Mus musculus: one gene and its partners. The protein of the gene in region 1 purifies or fractionates together with the protein of each later gene. This does not show direct contact. Links are inferred from orthologs where the notes say so. Each region holds a gene or a part of one and is shown on either strand. Other genes may lie near its edges.

Evidence for each region.
Region 2: the proteins of Hnrnpr (region 1) and Snrnp70 purify together in Homo sapiens (affinity purification with mass spectrometry; 3 studies listed by BioGRID and IntAct, with this or other methods). This does not show direct contact. The link is inferred for Mus musculus from reciprocal best matches to the Homo sapiens genes HNRNPR and SNRNP70.
Region 3: the proteins of Hnrnpr (region 1) and Hnrnph1 fractionate together in Homo sapiens (co-fractionation; 3 studies listed by BioGRID and IntAct, with this or other methods). This does not show direct contact. The link is inferred for Mus musculus from reciprocal best matches to the Homo sapiens genes HNRNPR and HNRNPH1.
Region 4: the proteins of Hnrnpr (region 1) and Dhx9 fractionate together in Homo sapiens (co-fractionation; 3 studies listed by BioGRID and IntAct, with this or other methods). This does not show direct contact. The link is inferred for Mus musculus from reciprocal best matches to the Homo sapiens genes HNRNPR and DHX9.

Annotation. Positions count from the first base shown.
Region 1 is NC_000070.6:136,316,531-136,321,362, reverse strand, and holds part of Hnrnpr (heterogeneous nuclear ribonucleoprotein R), read right to left. Parts: intron 4,280-4,832; coding exon 4,172-4,279; intron 1,970-4,171; coding exon 1,856-1,969; intron 1-1,855. UniProt on the Homo sapiens protein: Component of ribonucleosomes, which are complexes of at least 20 other different heterogeneous nuclear ribonucleoproteins (hnRNP). hnRNP play an important role in processing of precursor mRNA in the nucleus.
Region 2 is NC_000073.6:45,377,922-45,382,753, forward strand, and holds part of Snrnp70 (U1 small nuclear ribonucleoprotein 70 kDa), read right to left. Parts: exon of another isoform or gene 2,898-4,832; coding exon 2,796-2,897; intron 2,698-2,795; coding exon of another isoform or gene 2,597-2,697; exon of another isoform or gene 2,575-2,596; intron 2,240-2,574; exon of another isoform or gene 2,156-2,239; intron 1,414-2,155; exon of another isoform or gene 888-1,413; intron 1-887. UniProt on the Homo sapiens protein: Component of the spliceosomal U1 snRNP, which is essential for recognition of the pre-mRNA 5' splice-site and the subsequent assembly of the spliceosome. SNRNP70 binds to the loop I region of U1-snRNA.
Region 3 is NC_000077.6:50,375,342-50,380,855, reverse strand, and holds the start of Hnrnph1 (heterogeneous nuclear ribonucleoprotein H), read right to left. Parts: upstream 3,179-5,514; 5' UTR 3,054-3,178; exon of another isoform or gene 2,998-3,053; intron 2,621-2,997; exon of another isoform or gene 2,566-2,620; 5' UTR 2,526-2,565; coding exon 2,429-2,525; intron 1,389-2,428; coding exon 1,233-1,388; intron 1,036-1,232; coding exon 892-1,035; intron 1-891. UniProt on the Homo sapiens protein: This protein is a component of the heterogeneous nuclear ribonucleoprotein (hnRNP) complexes which provide the substrate for the processing events that pre-mRNAs undergo before becoming functional, translatable mRNAs in the cytoplasm.
Region 4 is NC_000067.6:153,456,007-153,460,838, forward strand, and holds part of Dhx9 (ATP-dependent RNA helicase A), read right to left. Parts: intron 4,384-4,832; coding exon 4,272-4,383; intron 3,714-4,271; coding exon 3,552-3,713; intron 3,460-3,551; coding exon 3,332-3,459; intron 2,731-3,331; exon of another isoform or gene 2,658-2,730; intron 2,484-2,657; coding exon 2,254-2,483; intron 2,163-2,253; coding exon 2,047-2,162; intron 1,726-2,046; coding exon 1,525-1,725; intron 748-1,524; coding exon 63-747; 3' UTR 1-62. UniProt on the Homo sapiens protein: Multifunctional ATP-dependent nucleic acid helicase that unwinds DNA and RNA in a 3' to 5' direction and that plays important roles in many processes, such as DNA replication, transcriptional activation, post-transcriptional RNA regulation, mRNA translation and RNA-mediated gene silencing.

The DNA of each region.
Region 1 (4,832 bases):
ACTCCGATGCTCAGGAGACTCCTACAATGCCTGGAACCTCAGCGTGGGAGGGAGAGGCTATACAACAAGTTCAAGTCAGTCATAGACTATGAGACCCAGCAAAGTACACTTGTCACACATCCTGATAATCTGATTTCTGTCCCCAGAACATACAGTGGGAGAACAAAAGCCTTCACCCCACCCTCCACATGCCTATACTCACACACACACATCCTCTATCACACACTCCAAAGGAGATCCCATCTCAAAATAAATAAATAAATAAATAAATAAATAAATAAATAAATAAATAAATCCTGTACCACTCAAGCTAGCTTAAATTTGTTACAAAAAGGCCACAACTTCTTTTGTTTTTAAAAAACTCATCAAATACTGTGCACTGTGTTCCTGGCACTAAATATAGACAATGAAACCATCCAATCAGAAAAAGTCCCTGCATAACTGACTTTTTGTCACCTAGTTTCTCCATTTAAGGATCCAAGAGTGCTACAACACTAGGGAGAGAGGGAGGTGTACAGGGCTGCAGGGTGTGGGAGGGACGCAAGGAGCAGGGTGCTTGCTGAGCACACAGGAAATCGGGGTTGGACCCTCAGCACTACATAAACTGCTGTGGAATAAACTTATCATCTCAGCTCTTTGGTGGTGCCAGCAGGAAAATTGTAAGTTAGCTAGTTCTAGGACAACTTGAGCTACATAAAACTCTTTCTTAAACAACAACAACAACCCAAAAGTAGAAAGGCACTCGGATGGTAGTAGAGCACTCCTCTTACCCTAGCATTTGGGAAACAGAAGCAGGAGCTATCTCTGAGGTCTAGGCCAGGCCAGCCTAGACTACAGAGGGAGTTCCAGGATTGCCAGGAATGCACAGTGGAAAAGGGGGAAAAAAAAAGTCCAGAGAGAAACTTTTAAAAAAGCCTAAGAGTCACTCACTTTCCCACTTTCTCTCTCTCTCTCACTCTCTCTCTGACTCTCTCTGACTCTCTCTCTCTCTCTCTCTCTCTCTCTCTCGATTCTAATCTACACTCTCCTTCATGGGATTCCCTCCCAGTCAGAATATTTCTCAGTCATTTCTAAGTGCATTTTGTGTTGAAAGAAAGCAAAGTACTGACATTACAAAACGCAAATGATTGAGACATGATGACTCACCCCAGCACAACCCCAGCATTCAAGAGGCCACCCGATTACCAATTGTTCAAGGCAAGCCTGATCTTCACAGAGTACTTTAGGCCAGAAAAAGCTACATATAAGACTTTGTCTTAAAATAAAATAAATATGAGCTGAGTCCAATAGCACATGCCTACAACCCCAACACTCAGAAGGGAGGCCCCATCGTCAAGGTAGTCTGGGCTACATACTAAGATATCACATCAAATGAAAGATTTAGGTCAGAAGAATGGCATAGAGGCAGAACACATGCTCAGAATGAATGAGGCCCCAACTCAATCCCTAGCACAAAAAATTTTAAAATTCTGCAAAATTAAAAACAACTGCATCCGGCTGGAAAGATGGCTCAGTGGTTAAGAGCACTGACTGCTCTTCCAGAGGTCCTGAGTTTAATTCCCAGAAACCACATGGTGGCTCACAACCATCTGTAATGGGATCTCATGCCCTCTTCTGGTGTGTCTGAAGACAGCTACAGTATACTCATATATACAAAATAAACAAATCTTGAAAAAAAAGATTTCTAAACCAAGGTCAGTTATCCTTGCTAATAATGACACAAATACACATAGATACTACCAATATAACACTAGCCACACTTTGACAGTAATCAAGTACTTTACCCACATCATAAGCTGGATTATACAGTTAATAGATTGGAAAGATTTTCCCACAAAGGGCTAAAAGCACTTACCTCTGTCCCAATCCCAGGCTGCACACCCGAGTACACACTGTCTGGTGGGGGACCGCCATACTTCCTCTGTCCCGTGGTCACATCCAAAGTATAACCAGTCCTCTCAAGCAAGGCCTAGAGATAATTACACATGTTAAACTTGAAAGTACAAACACACACACAAACTGTCACATCTTTGAAATGCATTTTATGATGAATTAAAAAGGAGCAGCTGGAAATAAAGCATGCATGCACGAGGCACCAGATTCTACCTGCAGTGCCACATAAACCCCAGAGATGGGGCCAGGCAGCAGTCGTGCATGACTTTAATCCCAATACCTGGGAAACAGAGGTAGGCAGATCTTTAAGTTTAAGACCAGCCTGATCTACTCAGTGAGTTCCAGGACAGCCAGGGCCACACAGAAAAACCCTGTCTGAAGCTACCCCCCGAAAAAAAGAAAAATAAAAGTGAGGGGCTAGAGAAATAGCTTAGCAGTTAAGAGTTTACTGCAGAGGGCACAAGTTTAGTTCACAGCACACATGTGAAATGTCTCATTATTAACTGTCTGTAACTCCAGGTCCAGGGGGTCCAATACCTCTTCTGGCCTCCATAGACACTGTAGTCCTGCATACAAACCCACACTCAAACAAACACATATACATATAATTAAAAACAAGAGTAAACTATTTAAAAGAGGACGGCTGGAGAGATGGCTCTGAACTAAAGCGCACCTGCTGCTCTTGCAGACCTTCGGAGTTTGGTTCCCAGTACACATGGCAGCCCACAACTGCCCTTAACTACTCCATTTGTCTGCTTCATACTCTTACCAAGCTACAAGCTCAACACAACTGGAATATCTCACAGGATACTCTAAATTTGGAAACTTCCAAATAAATATACTCTGATTTCAAAACATGAATCATTATTTGAGAGCCGGGCATGGTGGCGCATGCCTTTAATCCCAGCACTCGGGAGGAGAGGCAGGCGGATTTCTGAGTTCGAGGCCAGCCTGATCTACAAAGTGAGTTCCAGGACAGCCAGGGCTACACAGAGAAACCCTGTCTCGAAAAACAAAACAAAAAGAATCATTATTTGATTCCACCTCACTAACACTAACTAACAGAGGTCACAGAAACAATGTTCTTGCCCTCAAAAAGCTTGCACGATAGATAACATTCGTATGAAATTTCATATGAAAGGTCTATAGAATATCTTTTGTTGGCAAACAAAATATGCACTCTACCAAGAAAGAGAAGGGCTCTGCATGTTAGGTATGTAATTACAAAGAGCACCAGCAGATTCATGTTTGTTAGAGTTAGTTAACCCTGGGATTCCACAGGGAAGAATGTCTTGAACCTTCCATTTTTCTACCAGGGGAAGGGGGTTAGTCAGCCAATCAGGGTTGTTACACAGTAGTTTGGCATTTGTTTAAGAATGGGGCTAGATCAGTTTATAAACAGATGAGAATGGAGGAGAAAAGTATAAAGGCACTTTACAAAGTTAGTTATACCCAAGCCTGAGTCACCAGGGCAAACAACTCTAAAACTCAATACCATTCCAATTAAATCTTTAAGGACAGCTTAGGATAGAGCACTTGATTAGCATGTGTAAAGCCCTGGATTAGGTCCCCACCACTGCAACCTTGACAAAACCCCTTTAACAAGGTCTTTTAGGAAAAGCCTTTTTGACTTTCAAAGCAATTTATCTAAGTTAATAATAATAATAATGACCGGGGAAGGTAGTTACTTTACATATGAATTCATCTAATCTTCACAACTTAAGGAGGTAGGCAAAACCAAAACCATTTTATAAAATCAAAAAAGGTCAAAGCCAGCCGGGCAGTGGTGGCGCACGCCTTTAATCCCAGCACTTGGGAGGCGGAGGCAGGCGGATTTCTGAGTTCGAGGCCAGCCTGGTCTACAAAGTGAGTTCCAGCCAGGGCTATACAGAGAAACCCTGTCTTGAAAAACCAAAAAAAAAAAAAAAAAAAAAAAAAAAAAAAAAAAGGTCAAAGCCGGTTTATAAATACACTGAGGTCAGAGAAAATTCAAAAGGAGGAAAGCAGTTAGAATACCACAGCTCTTCCCTAAGGCCTTTCACTTCAGCACTCAGTAGGCTGAGGCAGGATCACCTTGTTGGGAACCAGTCTGGGCTATAAAATGAGTTCCAGGCCAGTTTGAGCTACATAATGGTACCCTGTACCAAACAAAATATATATATATATATATAAAAGAGTGCTTATAAAGCAATAATAAACATGCCCCTCCCTCTTTGTCAGAAGACTGAGGATCAAGGAAGAGTCTGAACTAGACATTCCCATACTGTGACTCTTTTACCTTGATTTTTGCTTCATCGGGCCCTTTCGTGGACTCTTGTACCTTGCTGCCTTGTTTCTCTCTTTGCCTGTAGGTCTTCATAACTCCACATAAAAATGCACTTTTGTTCTAAAAGATGCAAGCAATTCAAAAGGAAGAATTACCAGGAATCTCTGAAGGGTCAAATACACAATAAATTTAAATTTAAATGATAGCATTTTAAGACCAACGTTTTAACAAAAATATTCATTCCATTCATTCAACAAATACTTTGACATGCCTGAGGCTGGAGCAGACAGTAAGTCAGTACCTCAGGGAGCTTGCCTTCTAAACTGGAAAAAAACAAACAAACAAAAAAAGGGGGGGGCTCACTTCCATTTGTTATTCTTTACCTGAATCTGGACTACCTTTCCAAAATGGCTAAATGTATTTCTCATACAAAGATAGCCCAATAGCACCCCCCTTTATTGCAGACGATTTAAACATATAAAACTGTCACAGTAACAATAAAATCCAAACATGACTAAGTTCGTAAAGTAACTCACTGTGTTAAAGGTGAGGGAAGAGCTTTGCTTTGTGCCCATGCTTCTGAAACTCTGACACAGAAGATCTTTTTTTATCTTAAATTTTTCCAAAGGAGAGATAGTCACAAACAAAACAGACCACTTCCCCACAGGGAACC
Region 2 (4,832 bases), on another chromosome or scaffold:
AGGGTACACTACATTTCCAGCCTTCTCAGCTGCCTCGTGCTCCCCACCTTAGCCATGTAACATTTACCTTCTGAGGAGTGAGCTCACCTTCCTTGTCTCTGTACCTTCTACTTCCCTGTCAGTCTCAAAGCACCAACTCAGACCCTGCCCTGCTCATCACACTATAGCACGCTCCAACGAACTGTTAGAGGCCATCAGTACCTCCCCAACTGTTCAAAGAAAGCACTACCACACCTCCCCAGATTCTGATGTGCCACGAATACTTCAAACTTGCAGATTCAATACGTGGTCTATAAAGGTGATTTTCACCCAACCAATAGCACAAGGGAGCAGGTGACAGTCTTATCTTTCAGACAGGGATCTACTAATGAGCCACTTGCCCCAGTGACTTGGCAAGGAGGGTCATGTCTCAGAATCCCATCTGCCTGTGGTGGTTTCCTGCACCATCCACCTGAAGGTTTAGTGAGGTGGGGCTGTGTTTCACACAGGAGCACAGGCAAAGCGAAGAGGTCAGCCACATGCTAGGCTGTTAAACTAGGTATAGATAACAGGTTGGACTACTGCAAAGCAGGACCCAGACTTCCAGCTGCTGGATCACAGTCTAACAATGAGCTAGGCCATTATCAATACAAGAAAATGTCTATAGTAAGAGTTCTGTAATTTGGGTTGCTTAAAAAAAACAAAACAAAACAAACAAACAAAAAAAACAGGAAACAGCTGCGCAGTGGTGGCGCACGCCTTTAATCCCAGCACTCGGGAGGCAGAGGCAGGCAGATTTCTGAGGCCAGCCTGGTCTACAGAGTGAGTTCCAGGACAGCCAGGCTACATAGAGAAACCCTATCTCGAAAAAACCAAAAAAACCCACAGAAATATTATAAGAACATGTTTTTGTTTTCATCCCAGGTGTGGGCATATGGGACTGCTTTGAATCAGCGGGTTTGCTTCATGCCTATAAGAGGCATGGTTTTGCCAGCTGCGGATAGTTACTGTGATTGTGTGGCATTTGGAATTCTGAGAACTTTTCAGAGGGTATACGCATCCTGGATTGTACAAGAGGGTAGGTTGTTGGTTTCTTAAGTAGTCAGGTACAAATAAGAGACAACAAGAAGAAATTACATATCCTAATGGTGAAGATCAAACTTGCCCCAAGGAACTCAATGCCCCTAATCTGCAGGTAGTCTCCTTTTCAATCCGATTGTATTCAGGGGTCTCTTTCCACTCCTCTCTATTCTTTTCCCCCTCCTCTCTTATGTATTACAGAGATGAAAGGGTGGAAGAATAGGGTTGAAAAAAGAACCCACAAAGTGGCCAAAGACAGCTACAATGTCAACAGTTTTCAAAATAAACACTCACTTCCTGCACCCTAAGTAGACTCCGTCCCTCCATCACTCTTCATATCTAACTGTCACAAGTCTAAAAGCAACAGAAATAGTTAACTCAGTCTGAAACTTCAGAAACTGAGAGAAAACAAACATCTTGTTCATTAAAGGTTGAGGCAGGAGGATCACCAAGAGCCTGAGGCTACCCTGGGCTTCACAGTTAAGACCATATCTCAGATCCTCACACAAATAGTAACAAATACCTTTATGCACATGGGCAAAAATGCTGCCCAAAGTCTCACCTAGGCTAAGTGTCTGTCCATGGGAGTGAAGCGGGCTCATACCTTACTATATTAATATCAACAAATCTGTAACCACAACAACTGTCTTGTTTCTGAGACTTCATTCAGCACAGCAGTCAGCCTAAAGGATCCACCTTTTTTAAAAAAGAAAAAAGGGGCTGGAGAGATGGCTCAGTGGTTAAGAACATTGACTGCTCTTCCGAAAGTCCTGAGTTCAAATCCCAGCAACCACATGGTGGCTCACAACCATCTGTAATGAGATCTGACGCCCTCTTCTGGAGTGTCTGAAGTCAGCTACAGTGTACTTACATATAACAATAAATAAATCTTTAAAATAAATAAATAAATAAATAAATAAATAAAAGACTTGGAGGTCCCTGGGGGTTGGGATGGTAGGTCACCTCTGCACAGGTGCACAGGTGAAAGCAGAGCCAGGCAATACTGCCTAAGACAGAGTGAAGCTACTCACACAAAAGACCTAAACCCAGCCAGGGCCTAATTTGAGGCATCAGCAAATAGCTTAGAGAGTGACACCTGTTGACAGAGTGAGCAGCAAACTCTCCAAGTCCAGTCTCAAGGTCTTGGTGAGGATCTATTGATGATATCACAATCATGGGACTGAAACAAGAGCCTGGCATCAGTAGGCACCTCTATTCCTTATGCTTTAAGACCCTCAGATATATTTCAAGACTTGCCACAACAACCCCCATGGAGACAGCCCACAACCACCAGAAAGGCCAGGAGGGTCAGATGCAAGGTCAGAGCACAGGCTGCTGCTTTCTTGCTTCAGATGTGAAGCCAGGAATTGGGCTGGTGACTCAGCTAGAGAGTGAATGAAGAAGCCACTCAGTGAGAGCAAGAGCAAAGCTAGAGCCAGTGATACCCTCCAACCCAGCCCATGATACCAAGTATATGGGCATAAGGTGGCTGAGGTCAGTGCTGAAGTTACCCACACTGCACAAGAACTGCTGCTGGTCAATCACTCATGCAGGAAAGACCAGGGTATGCTTGGGTGCTCATGTGTAGGTGTCTGTGTGCACCAGTGTCCAAAGCCATGAAGATGATGAGAAGACAAGCTGGAAATGGAGAGGAACAGGCGTATGGGTTGGGGAGACTGAAGGAAGAATAATCTCTAATCACAGGCCCAGGCACCCAGAAGGAATACTGCACTCACCTAGGCGCCGGGGCCTCCAGCCCTTCACAGTCCGGCCCCTCTCCACATCCACGAGGACCCTCCTGCCATCTATCTTCTTGCCATCTGCGTGCTTGTAAGCGGCTGCAACAGATGTGGGGGAGGGGGAATTCCCCAGAAGGTCCTCTAGTCAGACAAGGCTCCATACAACAGCATCCCTGCCCCTCAAACCCCATCTGCACACATACACTCACACTCCCACCAGTCAGCCAGGCAACCAACAGCCAGACCGCCCTCTCCCCACCCTGAAGGGCCTGCTCCATCCGGTGCTTGATTCCTTTTTGGCACCCCCAAGTGCTATTGGGGGGGTAAAACATTTACTCTGGCCTCCCCCAGCTTTCACATGATGGAGCAGCCCCCTCCTGCCAGGGCGGCCAAATTGCTGCAAAGAAACTGGAGGTTAGCTGAATGCTGGCCTCTGCTGTGGGGAGGGCTCCTCCACACCCAGGCATGCACCCTAGACACCATGCTGGGCAGGAGGCTGGCTAGGCTCCTCCACACCCAGGCATGCACCCTAGACACCATGCTGAGGCAGGAGGCCCACTGGGCCCCACCACATCCAGACCACACCAGATTATTTTTTTGTTTTTTTGTTTTTGTTTTTCTGTGTGTTTTTATAGGGGAGGTCAGTGTGAGGAAAGAGACATCAGAACAGAAATGAACAGGAGTGGAAAGACCTTCAGGAACTGGCAGGGATATAGGTGGGTGCTGAGCTCCCCAGGGACCTCCAAGGACCCTGGCTGGACTCAAAGGGACATGTACCGTGCTACTCAAAATCCCTGCCTTACCTGAGCCGACTGACCCTGCCACCACCTAGCCTGGCCAGCTCTGTCCTCCAAGCCGAGGTCAATGGCCAGCAGGGCATGCAGCCCTGCCTGAACCCTCAGGGAAGTTGAGGAGCATAAGACATAGTGGGAAGGCCCAGAGCCCAGGCCTGTGATCAGGCAGGGCTGTTAAGAAGGCCAAAAAGTCCCTGTCCAGGTCCCAGCCCTGGCCTAAGGGGCTGTGCTCACCAACCACAATACCCTGCCCCACCCCTGCCCACTCCCCCCCAATAACAACCAGAGGAAGAGAAAAAGGTGCCATTTACCGATGCCGGCCTTGCGGGTGTCCAAACCGAGCGGGATGGGGGGGGCCGGCAACTCCTGGGGGCCTGGCGAGGAGGCGGGCTTCCCGGGGGTGGGGTGGGGGTTGGGACACGGGACTGCTTACCTGGAGACCCCAAGCTTACCTGAACACTCACACAACCCCACACCCACCACCACAGGGGCAACTAAAGCTACAGGGAACCCTGAGAGGGAGACACTACATTTCCCACATCATCTAGAGACAAGTGGATGAAGGAAAAAAGGGAGCCTCTGAATGTCAGAGGAATGTTTGCGCCCGGGCTGGGAGACCTGGATCTATCTATCCTGCCCAACCTAAACAGTGGGCCTCAAGGCCTCAAAAGCACCTACTGCTCACCACTGCCTCAGTTACGCTCCACTAGGTACAGGCCCAGCACTCAGTCCTGGGGTCAGGCTTTCCACCTGGATCCATATGCCCTCCCACTAGTGGCAACAGGCCTGAGGCCAGTACACAGGGGATACACCTGGGATCCAAAAGAATGCTCCCCATGCTCCAGGAGGGGCCGATCGGCCCCTAACCCCAGAACAGCTTGAGAGGGTCAGTCAATACAGGAACCCTGCTCAGGTTCCCCATCCCAAACCCCGGGAGAGGTCCAACCCAGAAAACAGCAAGACCATGTAATTGTGTCATTCTAGGCTTCTCTCTCTCTCTTTCCCTCTCTTCCACCTCTGTGCAGATTTAGTAAAAACTACCACACCTTTAGTTGTTTTAAAGCCTGCTCCACCCCTCCCATACCCTGAACCCCAATCCATGCACTTTGGGGAGCTCAGGCACTGGACATCACAGCTGCCTTCTAAGGAGACTCCCACCACACCAAGGAAGACAGGAGGGACACAATACCCCAAGCTAGAAACCAGAGACTTTCCAAGACCACTATGGTGACAACTCCAC
Region 3 (5,514 bases), on another chromosome or scaffold:
AAGCTTACAAAAAGGCCTTAAAGCACTTTCCTAGAAGATATGAAATTATGTTCATATTTAACGTTGACAGATAGCATTCAATTCTCACCAATTTAGATAAAACAAAACAGACTTGATTTCAAACTATAAAATATTACAAATTGATACATATATAAAGTTCTAGTCAAAGTTCTAATACATACTATGCTAAAAACTATTAAGATATTTGATTAATTCTGTCTATGTCATCAAGAGTATTAATAGTACTTAAAATATACAAGATTTAACATTCTGCTAAGCATGCAAATCCTATCAGCTCTTCAACATAAAAACATTCAAATACTTTAGGCCCAGAACAACTTCAAAAACTTCTATACTGCTTTCATATTGAGACTACAAGCATTCAACCTACACTTGCTACAATTTACTTTTTTGACTTCTAATAGGCTACCTAAGCCAAGTTCCTTTCATAACAATTTTCATACAGAGAATTACACTAGCTAAAATATTTCTGGTCCCATGACGGAAAATAAGTTATAACACCATAAACTGTAACAATCTAGACTCACACTAATCTAATGTTAAAAGAGCTTACCTTTAACTTGAAGTACTTTGCTAAACAGCAATATGAGGAAGTTAAGATGGCTGAGTAGAATCCTCAAAGGTCTACTCTGAACTACAATACTAAATATAGGCAAAGTTAACACTTTGGAAATACTTCTAATTTCCACCTTTAAGATGGGCTTAAGTTATTTGAAGGTCTCCAGGAAGAAAATGTGAATTCAACAACATATATTCAACAGCCTACTTTAAGTACCTAGACTATTCAACTTTTTAAAGGTCTACTAATACTAATTCATGTCGCCAGAAGCTGCCATACCTCACTGCTCAGCAACAAACAGGACTACATACCTGAGAAGAACTGAACAATTTCTTCCTTGCTACATCCAAAAGGGAGTCCTCTAAGCCGTACAAAGCCATCATTGGCTGTGTCAGGACTATTTGGACCAGTATGCTTCAACACCCAATCCATTTCAACGTTGTTTGACTTGAATACTGAAAGAGGTGCTTAGAATTAGTCAATTAAGTTGGAGAACAAAGTTCAGATTTCCTGGGCTTTTAGATAACTAGGAAGAGCTGCCATAAACTCCCTTAGATGACCATTTCCATGCGGTCAAATACCTAAAATTCAGAAGGGGTAAGACCTCTATGTGTTTAAACGTTTACTGTTACTAGGGCAATGTAAATCAAACCTTCAACATATCTGTGTCCCATAGTTTCTCTGTCTTTTTTCAAGGCCAATTTGACTTCATCTTCTGATTCAAGTTCAACAAAAGCCTCGCCACTTGGTCTGCCTTCTCTGGTGTAGATGAAACGAATACCTTGAGCCCCATTTTGAATTTTGCAGTCTGAAAAGAAAACAACGCTTAATACAGGATTTAAAACCACTACAGATAAAATGCATATTCCTGTCATCACACACACCAAAAAAAAAAAAACATGCCTAAAAAGACTGACCAAGCAGAACACGATCAAATTATCTCATATACAGGATATATTCCTAGTCCAACAAGGTAACTCAATGCTCAAAAATAGTTCAAATGGAGCAGGGCAGTGGTGACGCACGCGTTTAATCCCAGCACTGGGGAGGCAGAGGCAGGCGGATTTCTGATTTCGAGGCCAGCCTGGTCTACAGAGTTCCAGGACAGCCAGAGCTACACAGAGAAACCCTGTCTCGAAAAAAAAAAAAAAAAAAGTTCAAATGAAGCTACCACCTTGCCTCTAAGTTTCCATTAACCATCTCTTGGTACACTATCTCAGAATAATCTCATCTGGATCTGGTGACTTCACAGCATTTTCTTGTTTGGGTACCATGTCAGCTTCCCTCTATCAGCAACCACATAACAATTTCATTCAAATCCAAACTCCAGCTCAATATTCATCCGAAAAGGGACCAATGTTAACAACTAAAGGCTCCAAGCTGCAGTTCAACTCAAACCCGGACGGCAACGGCCCCCTGCAATTGCTTGCAGTATACTTGGGGCTCGATTTACAGATCGTTTTCTGTTACCACAGCTAAATTCAGATGGTAAGGTCAACACTACAAGTACCTTTTTACAAAACCTTACACGACTTGAGAAGAAATCACATCTTTCCCTACTTAAATTTTTCTTAGACTACTCCAGAATGCACAGATTGATGCATAGAGACAGAAAAAGTTTTAAAAGAAAACAAATTCAGCAGGGCCACCAGCATCCCCAAGGGGGTTGGGGGGGGTGCGGATTTCGCAATTACCATTGCGTAACAGCGGCCAACAGAGCGCGAGCCGCCTGGGGAAACCGCTGGTGGCCGCGACTCGCTAGGGGGCGCCCGGGAGACCCGCCCCGCCCCAACCCGGCCCGGCCCGGCCCAGCCGCGGGCCCCACTGACAACTCCCGCCTCAACTCACCAGAAAAAAAGCGCTGCACTTCATCCGCGGAGCAGGACCAGGGCAAGCCCCGGACCTTCACCACGAAGCCCTCTCCGCCTTCTGCTCCCAGCATCATCGTCCCTTCGGTGGTCCTGGCGTCCACACAGATTGCGGGGCTGCGGGGTGGGGGTGGGGGTCAGGAACGCGTCTGAGAAAACAGGCATTTAAATGGCCCTCCCACTTCACGGCGCACAGCGGGCACCGGGCGCCGCCATGCGAGTCCCGCCCGTCAGGATGCCTGGGCCCCGGAGACTCAAGCATGCAACCCGGCCTCGGCTAGCGACCCGATGCCCAAAGCCGCCCAGTGCGCCCAGGGCCGAGGCGCCAAGCTAATAAGACCCTGGCCCACAGCCACGGTTGAGACGAGGAAATGGCGGCCGCCGCTTCCGCTCCGCCTCCTCAGACATCTCACACAATAGAAAGCGGCGCGGCCTGCAGGCCTAGGCGGCGCTGCCACGCCGGCGAGACACTCGCGGCTCCCAGGGGCAGCCTGCGCCTGCCACGGCCCCTCAGGTTAGAACCTAAGCTCAGCGACAAGCAATCGTCACCCAAAGAGGTGTCCGTGGAGAGCTCGGGCAGCAGTCGAAGACGGAAAGTCACTCACCTCCACAAAAAGCCTCGGCGTGGCTGAGGAGAAATGATAAGCGGGCGCCTGCGCAGGCTAAATAAAGCCCTTCCAGCAAGCTCTGCGCACGCGCACCCTGTTGCCGGCCCCGCCCCACTTGCGTCACAGAGAGATTGGACGCATGCGTATTAAGAAACCCCGAGCTCTCTCCCGCCGTCCTATTATTACACGCATGCGTTTGGGCTCAGCCCTCTTCATAAACTGACCGAGGTGTTTTTGGTTGTTTTTTTTTTTTCTTTCTGCGCCTGCGCCTTTTTGCAATTATTGCGCTTGGCGTCTCAGCGGTTTCTTGTTTTACTTAATGCGCATGCGGCTACCTTCAAACCGTTCTCTAGACCTACCCGCCGGAGTGGGGGAGGGGAATGGCGCTAATCAGCTCCCCGCAGGGACTGGGTAGTAATCCAGAGTTCGTTCAGGTTTGCAGGGGCGGTAGTTCTACCCTTAATCCGCAGCTTTTCATCCGCGCTCCTGTCGGTTTTGAAAGACACCACGAAGAAAAGGAAGCCATGCCCTTTCTCCTCAGAACGCGTAGGAGCTGGAGGGCCGGGTTGTGCCAAACCTCCTCTGGGTACCGCCCCGCCCCCTGCGCCCAAATCCCCGATCTCCGTGGGGCGCCTGGGACCAGTCCCCTTACCTGCCCGCTTTAGGGGGTCAGTCCCGACCCACATGGGCTGCCAGTGCCCGAGCTAGTCCTGTACCCCACTTTGCCTAACGGACTCGCACTCTACGAACCCCTCGCCCTTGCACGAGAGGCGCTCGGTGTGCGGCGCCTCGCGAGGGAAGGCTGAGACTGCCAGGGGCGCGAAGGACGCAGCCCCAGAGCGCTGCGCCCGACCGACCAACGGGCCTCTCCCAAGGTGGAGACACGCCCGGGTCATCCCGTGTGCCCTTACAGAGGTAAATGGGTGACGTTTAAGAGAATTCCTGCAACATAGCAGAATACGGATGATGTCCCGAGTTTCTCCGAATCTGACTGACCTACCCTAGAAATTAACAATAAGAGTTATTGTTTGGGCGGTGCCACGGTAGGTACCACAATTGGTAAGCCTCTGAAAGCCATCACAAGAGGTTACAGGCAAAAATACGCTTTTCTTTCAAGTGCAACATTGAGGAGGCTAAATCCAGTTTGAACAGTTTGTTTTTTAAAAGGGGGGGGTGTCATCAAAGGAAAGGTGCAGAGACTGCGTGCAGAACTCAGACCTTTTAAGTCTGCGCAAGGGTGTTAAGTAGAAGGGCATCACAAGACTTCAAGAGAGCAACAGGAGCTGTGTAACGTGAACCTTCAGGTGTAAGGGAAACTCGGATGAGACAGGCTGGGAGAATAACTGCACATGACCTCACCTGCAAAGGATCTATCTAGAGGAGACAGAAAACACTAGTTTAGATCATCGAAAAGTGAGAACTCCCAAGTCTCCAGGCCAGGAGGTGGGTGAAAGGCAAGAACACAAGCCCAGCCGAGGAGAACTGCAACTTCAAGACTTGCCTGAGCAACAGAGTGCGTTCAAGGCAGCCTGGGAAATTTACTGAAAGCCTGTCTCAAAAAGAAGACAAGAGAAATAGTAGTGGTAGAGAGCTTGCTTAACATGTATATTTCCCCCTACATGGTCTTGGGACATGAGATTGATTACCAAGAAACTAAGATTACTCTTCTTTAGCTAATTCACACCATTTGAGAGCCCTATACTTATTAGATGACCTGCGATCGTTGGTTAGATGTATGGGAAGAGCAATGCATACTAGAAAGGCTTTGAGCAAACCAGTCCTACCACTCAACTATATTTTCACACACACACACCGTTTTTTGTTTGAATCATCTTTTTTCACTTTGCACAGTAATGTGCCTGTAGTCCCATCTACTTGAGATGCTGAGATGGGAGAGTCACTGCAACTTAGCAATCCAGGTCTCTCACCTGAAGGGGGGGAAATGTTTCCCTTCTGACAACACAACCACATTCCTACGATGTTTCTCTAAATTCTATTCTAGTTGTATGGGAGGTTATTTTTCCATCGTAAGAGAAAAATGCAGTGTATAATCATAGATAAAAACTTTTATCTTTCCTTATTGTGTCCTTTCCTTATTGTTTTGAGTCCTGATTGCACACATCCCAGGCCGGCCTCAAACTCCCCTTGCAGTCATGCATGGTCTCAAGTGTTTGATCATCCGCCTCCAGAATGACAGGATTAAAGTGTGTGTGCCACCACACGCAATGAGGATTTTCTGGTGGACAATTGTTTGGCAGAAGGCTCTGAGTATTTGTGTAATTTCTAACAATGGAAGGATTTGAAGATCCTTTTGTGTACAAGGGCTGCAAACGCCTGACTTTCACTACATGGGCTTTCCCTTTCTTTTAATCCTTACTAACTTAATACTGGGACTATGTAACTATCTGTATCTGATCACGGGAGCAAATGCTACATCATAGCCATTCCCTTTGATGTA
Region 4 (4,832 bases), on another chromosome or scaffold:
CTTGGAAAAACATACAGCATGCATTTTTCAACTGTATGCACAGGCTCCGACAGAGTCCAGTCTTAATAGCCACCACCACCCCCTCCTCCTCTTCCTTGTCCAAAATAACCACCTCCATAACCCCTTCGCTGGAATCCTCCAGATCCTCTATAGCCCCCACCGGATCCCCGGTAGTCTCCACTGGACCCTCTGTAGTCTCCACCAAAGTTGTTTCTGTAGCCTCCTTGGGAACCTCCTCTATACCCTCCCCCGCCACCACCATAATTCCCACGGTAAGAGTTGGGGCTTATACTATAACCTTCCCCACCACCATAACCCCCTCCCCCACCTCCATATCCTCCACTGCCTCCTCCATAGCCACCACCACCACCTCCTCCATAGCCACCACCTCCAACACCATACCCTCCCCCACCACTTCCAAAGCCCCCACTACCCCCAAATCCGCCACCTCCACCTCCTCTGCCACCACCAAATCCACCACCTCCTCCACCACTGAAGCCTCCTCCACCACCACCAAATCCACCTCCACCACTGCCAAAGCCTCCCCCACCACTACCAAAGCCTCCCCCACCGCTGTTAAAGCCTCCTCCAAAGCCTCCCCCACTTCCAAAGCCTCCTCCAAAGCCTCCACTACCGTATCCGCCACCATATCCTCCGCCACCATATCCTCCCCCACCATATCCCCTTCTATATCCACTTCCATTATCATATCGGGCCATCTTGGGAGGTCGTGGACCATCGCCGTACCTAGGGGGGGAAAAATCATTTTAGCTGTGCTCTGCACACTAAATTAGCAATCACAGTGAATTAATTTTGACCTAATAATGAGACTCATGTGGTATAAACAGCCCTTTCAGTATTTTTCCATAGACCACAAAGTTCCTGTAATTCACAGTATTTTTTTTATCAAGTGTTTTCCTGTACAAATGACTTTGGTGGAAACTCCTCATGACTCCCTACCTGTATTTGTTCATGTTAAAGAAGCCAGAGTAATAAATCATAACAACAGTTCAGTTATACTAAAATTAAAGGCAGATAACTTGATAAAAGATCCAGAGGATCTTTCATAGTGTGTTTATTACTTCAAAAGTGATTAAAATTGAAATACTCAAAACTAATAAGCATAAATAAGGAACACAAACATACACTGTAACATTCCTTTCTTATAAATGCAGGTGGGTGACCACTGAAGAGAAATTTCTTAAGGCAGACAGTAAAATAAACACTGACCTTTCTATTTGAGAAAGGAATAATACTGTATCTGAGATTCCACAGTATGGAGGAAAAGGCCTCATCTAGGTTACATCATTTTCAGACTTTTAATCTGTTCTACTTTTTAGGGCTTTATTTCTCATATGGCATTGTAAATTAATTTATAGGAAAAAAGGAAATCTTTTGTTCTGAGTCAAATTAAACTCCCACATTTAATGTTAAATAATTTTAACCTAAGTATCAAGGACTCTACCAACTAGTTTTAATAATTCTAGGTCTGCAAAAGCTAGACACATAAAATTAGGTACTCACCTTACACTTCCAATCATAAGGTTGATACCAGCAGCTGAGGGCCTAGAAATCTGTCGGATTGTGTTTAGCATATGTTCATTTACAGGGTCCAATTGGCTGATAATATTTGGTTGTTTGGACACTTCAACAACCAGAGCTTCCATGGCTGCCCGGAGGGCTGTGATGCATGCTGCAGCTTCATGAGATATTTGCAGTCTGATCCTAAGATGAAGGAAAACAAGACATAAAACTGGAAACATATACAGAAAGAGGCAGATGAATACCTGACAAACTGCCCTCCCATGTGTTAAAGTCGTGGCATAAATTTAACTATTTCATTAAAATTAAGACATGCCCCAAACCTAGGTGAATGTAATAACAGTAACATTCAGTATGAACATACAAACATCTCAAAAAATGTCCAGTTCTAAGTATATAATATACCAGACTAAGAACATCTCTAAGGACTATTATTAAACACATTATTCTAAGAAATCTTTATTCTAAAAATTCAGGTTGAAGATTACGACTGAAAGTCCCTACCAGTCATCTATAAACACAATCTGCCCATCCGACTGGACTTTCTTGGAGGCAAAGAGAAGTAGCTGTAAGGGGGTCACTAAGGTCATGCCTTTAGCAGAGATGGCTCGGGTTCTAATCTGTAAATAAAGAAAATGTAAAATGTCACACATTGATAGGTAATTAGTCACATTACATTTCTCATCTTTCAGACTTCTCTAATCCTCTTACCTTTTCACCAAAAACAAAGAAAGGAGATGGGTACTTCATGTCTTGGCTGCTGAAAGGACAGTTCACAGATGACTTGTGGATAAGTGCATTGCGCCCTTCAGTGGTAAGAATCTTTCTCTTCTCCTTATGATAGCATACATTGGGGTACACACCAAAAGCCAGCAGAGAGATAACAACATCCAAATTATTATCTGGTCCAGTGTTAGTAAACACTTGTGTCAATAAACAATCTGTAAAAAAAAATTTTGGGAAAATGGTTTGTAAAAATTAAATAACAGCATGACTCTCTAAGCCCTCTGACAACTTTCTTAGAACTTTCCCAACACAGAGCAACTTTGAGAAATGCATTCGCTGTTATTACTAGCAAAGCAGATGAAACGACAATTCAAGAAGTCCCTATGCCTGGTTCCATAGGGTAGTGGTTATCACATCTGCTTTATATGCAGAAGGTCCTGAGTTTGAGCCCCAGTGGAACTATGTGGTGTGCTTATTAATTAGGCCAGTTGGCAGTGGCGCACACCTTTAATCCTAGCACTTGGGAGGCGGAGGCAGAGGCAGGCGGATTTTTGAGTTTGAGGCCAGCCTGGTCTACAGAGTGAGTTCTAGGACAGCCAGGGCTATAAAGAAAAACCCTGTCTCAAAAACAAAAAAACAAAAATAAACAAACAACACCCCCAAAACAAACAAACAAACAAACAAACCTACTTCAACTATAACCTTTTAAAATTCTACTTTCTGGTACTAACATATATTCTGTTTCTGGTTAAGCCCACTCCAGTTCACAAAGTTTAATCCAGTTGGAACTCAACTTGCTATAAACAAAGTTGAATAAGTGTCTCATCCATCATATAAAAATATGTATGTTCAAATAGGTGAGAATCATAAATATTCTCCTGTACCTGTAGTTTATTGCCATGACTCACAAATTATCTTTTTAGGGGAGTTTCTTTCTATATAATTGAGAATGGGTATTACAACTAATTCAGACTATCTTTGAATTATCACTGATTTTATTCTGCTTTTAGCCCCCTAGATCTAGAGTTACCAACATGAGACACAATGACCAGTTTATAAATACCTTCGGGAAATCCAGAGTTAATCAGAATCTCTTTAAGCTGTACTTTGGCCTCCCAAGTCATTCTCAGTGTAGCCATATTGAGTCTCTTCTGCTCACAAAAACGTATTTCTGCTTCTTCTCCACTCATCCTAAACAAAAGAGAAAAAGCATTCACTCTCAAAGGCTCAGCAAGCTGAATTACATACTCAAATAGCTTACAGAGTTGCCTATAAACTCCTACCTAGCATCATCCCAGGCTTGGAATACTGATAAAAGAGCCACGTGATCAGAAAATCTGTTTCCAGCAAAATTCCGGTGTATGTATCCCAGGCGTTTTCCTTCGCTGATAAAGGGTTCTGGGAAGCAGGTAGCAGCAGAGATGGTACAGACAGCATCTCCCACACTGAAACAAGAGTAGTATAACAGTTTAAGTCTTCTTGCTAGAAGACCTTCAAATGTGGACTGAATCTTCTGTTGGCTAGGATACTGCCTCTATCCCTGAACTCATCAAAGAACTCCAAAATAAAAACTAATATTAGGGCCCCCAATGGAGGAGCTAGATAAAGTACCCAAGGAGCTGCAGGGGTCTGCAACCCTATAGGTGGAACAACAATATGAACTAACCAGTACCCCCAGAGCTCGTGTCTCTAGCTGCATATGTAGCAGAAGATGGTCCAGTCCGCCATCATTGGGAAGAGAGGCCCCTTGGTATTGCAAACTGTATATGCCTCAGTAGGGAGGAACGCCGGGGCCAAGAAGTGGGAGTGGGTGGGGAAGGGAGCAGGGGACTTTCAGATAGCATTTGAAATGTAAATGAAGAAAGTATCTAATAAAAAATTGGAAAAAAATTAATAACAAAACTAATATTTACTATAAATGACTATAGTTAAGATTTTTTTTAACACCAGATCATCTTGTCTTTATTAAATCCAATCTATTAAAAATAAAACAAAAAACTTACTAGAAAATACACCCCATTATCATCATTTTTCCAAAACGAGGTTCAATGGGGAGTTTAGCCAGGATTCGTCCAAGAGGAGTCAACTCATCATTGGCATCTAAAGCATCAAGTTCTGTAGGAAAATACTTATTTGTGAGTGATGTCAATAAATGTGGTATTAGTATTTAATCTTGTGACAAGTCAAATATGATGCCTGGAGCAAACAAGTCAAAAAACAAAAACAAACCCTGGATTACCTAACACAAAAGATGCTATAAAAGTATGTTCTATGCAAACTGGACTATAGCCATTGATACAGTAGCAGCATCAGCAATTAAGTACCCACATATCCTATAAGTAGTTGAGTACAAGATTCCAAGTTAAATGCAGAGCCATCTGAACTCAATACCCTTATTTTTTACACACCACTTTTATAACAAATTTGAGATAAAAACAAAAACCAAAAAGCCCAACCTCTAAGACACACACACTTAAAATATTAACTACAGGTGAGGAGTAATCCATGTTCTGGTTAGTGTTCTCTAGTTCATTAAATGTTTACTGAATGAGACTTATTTACAC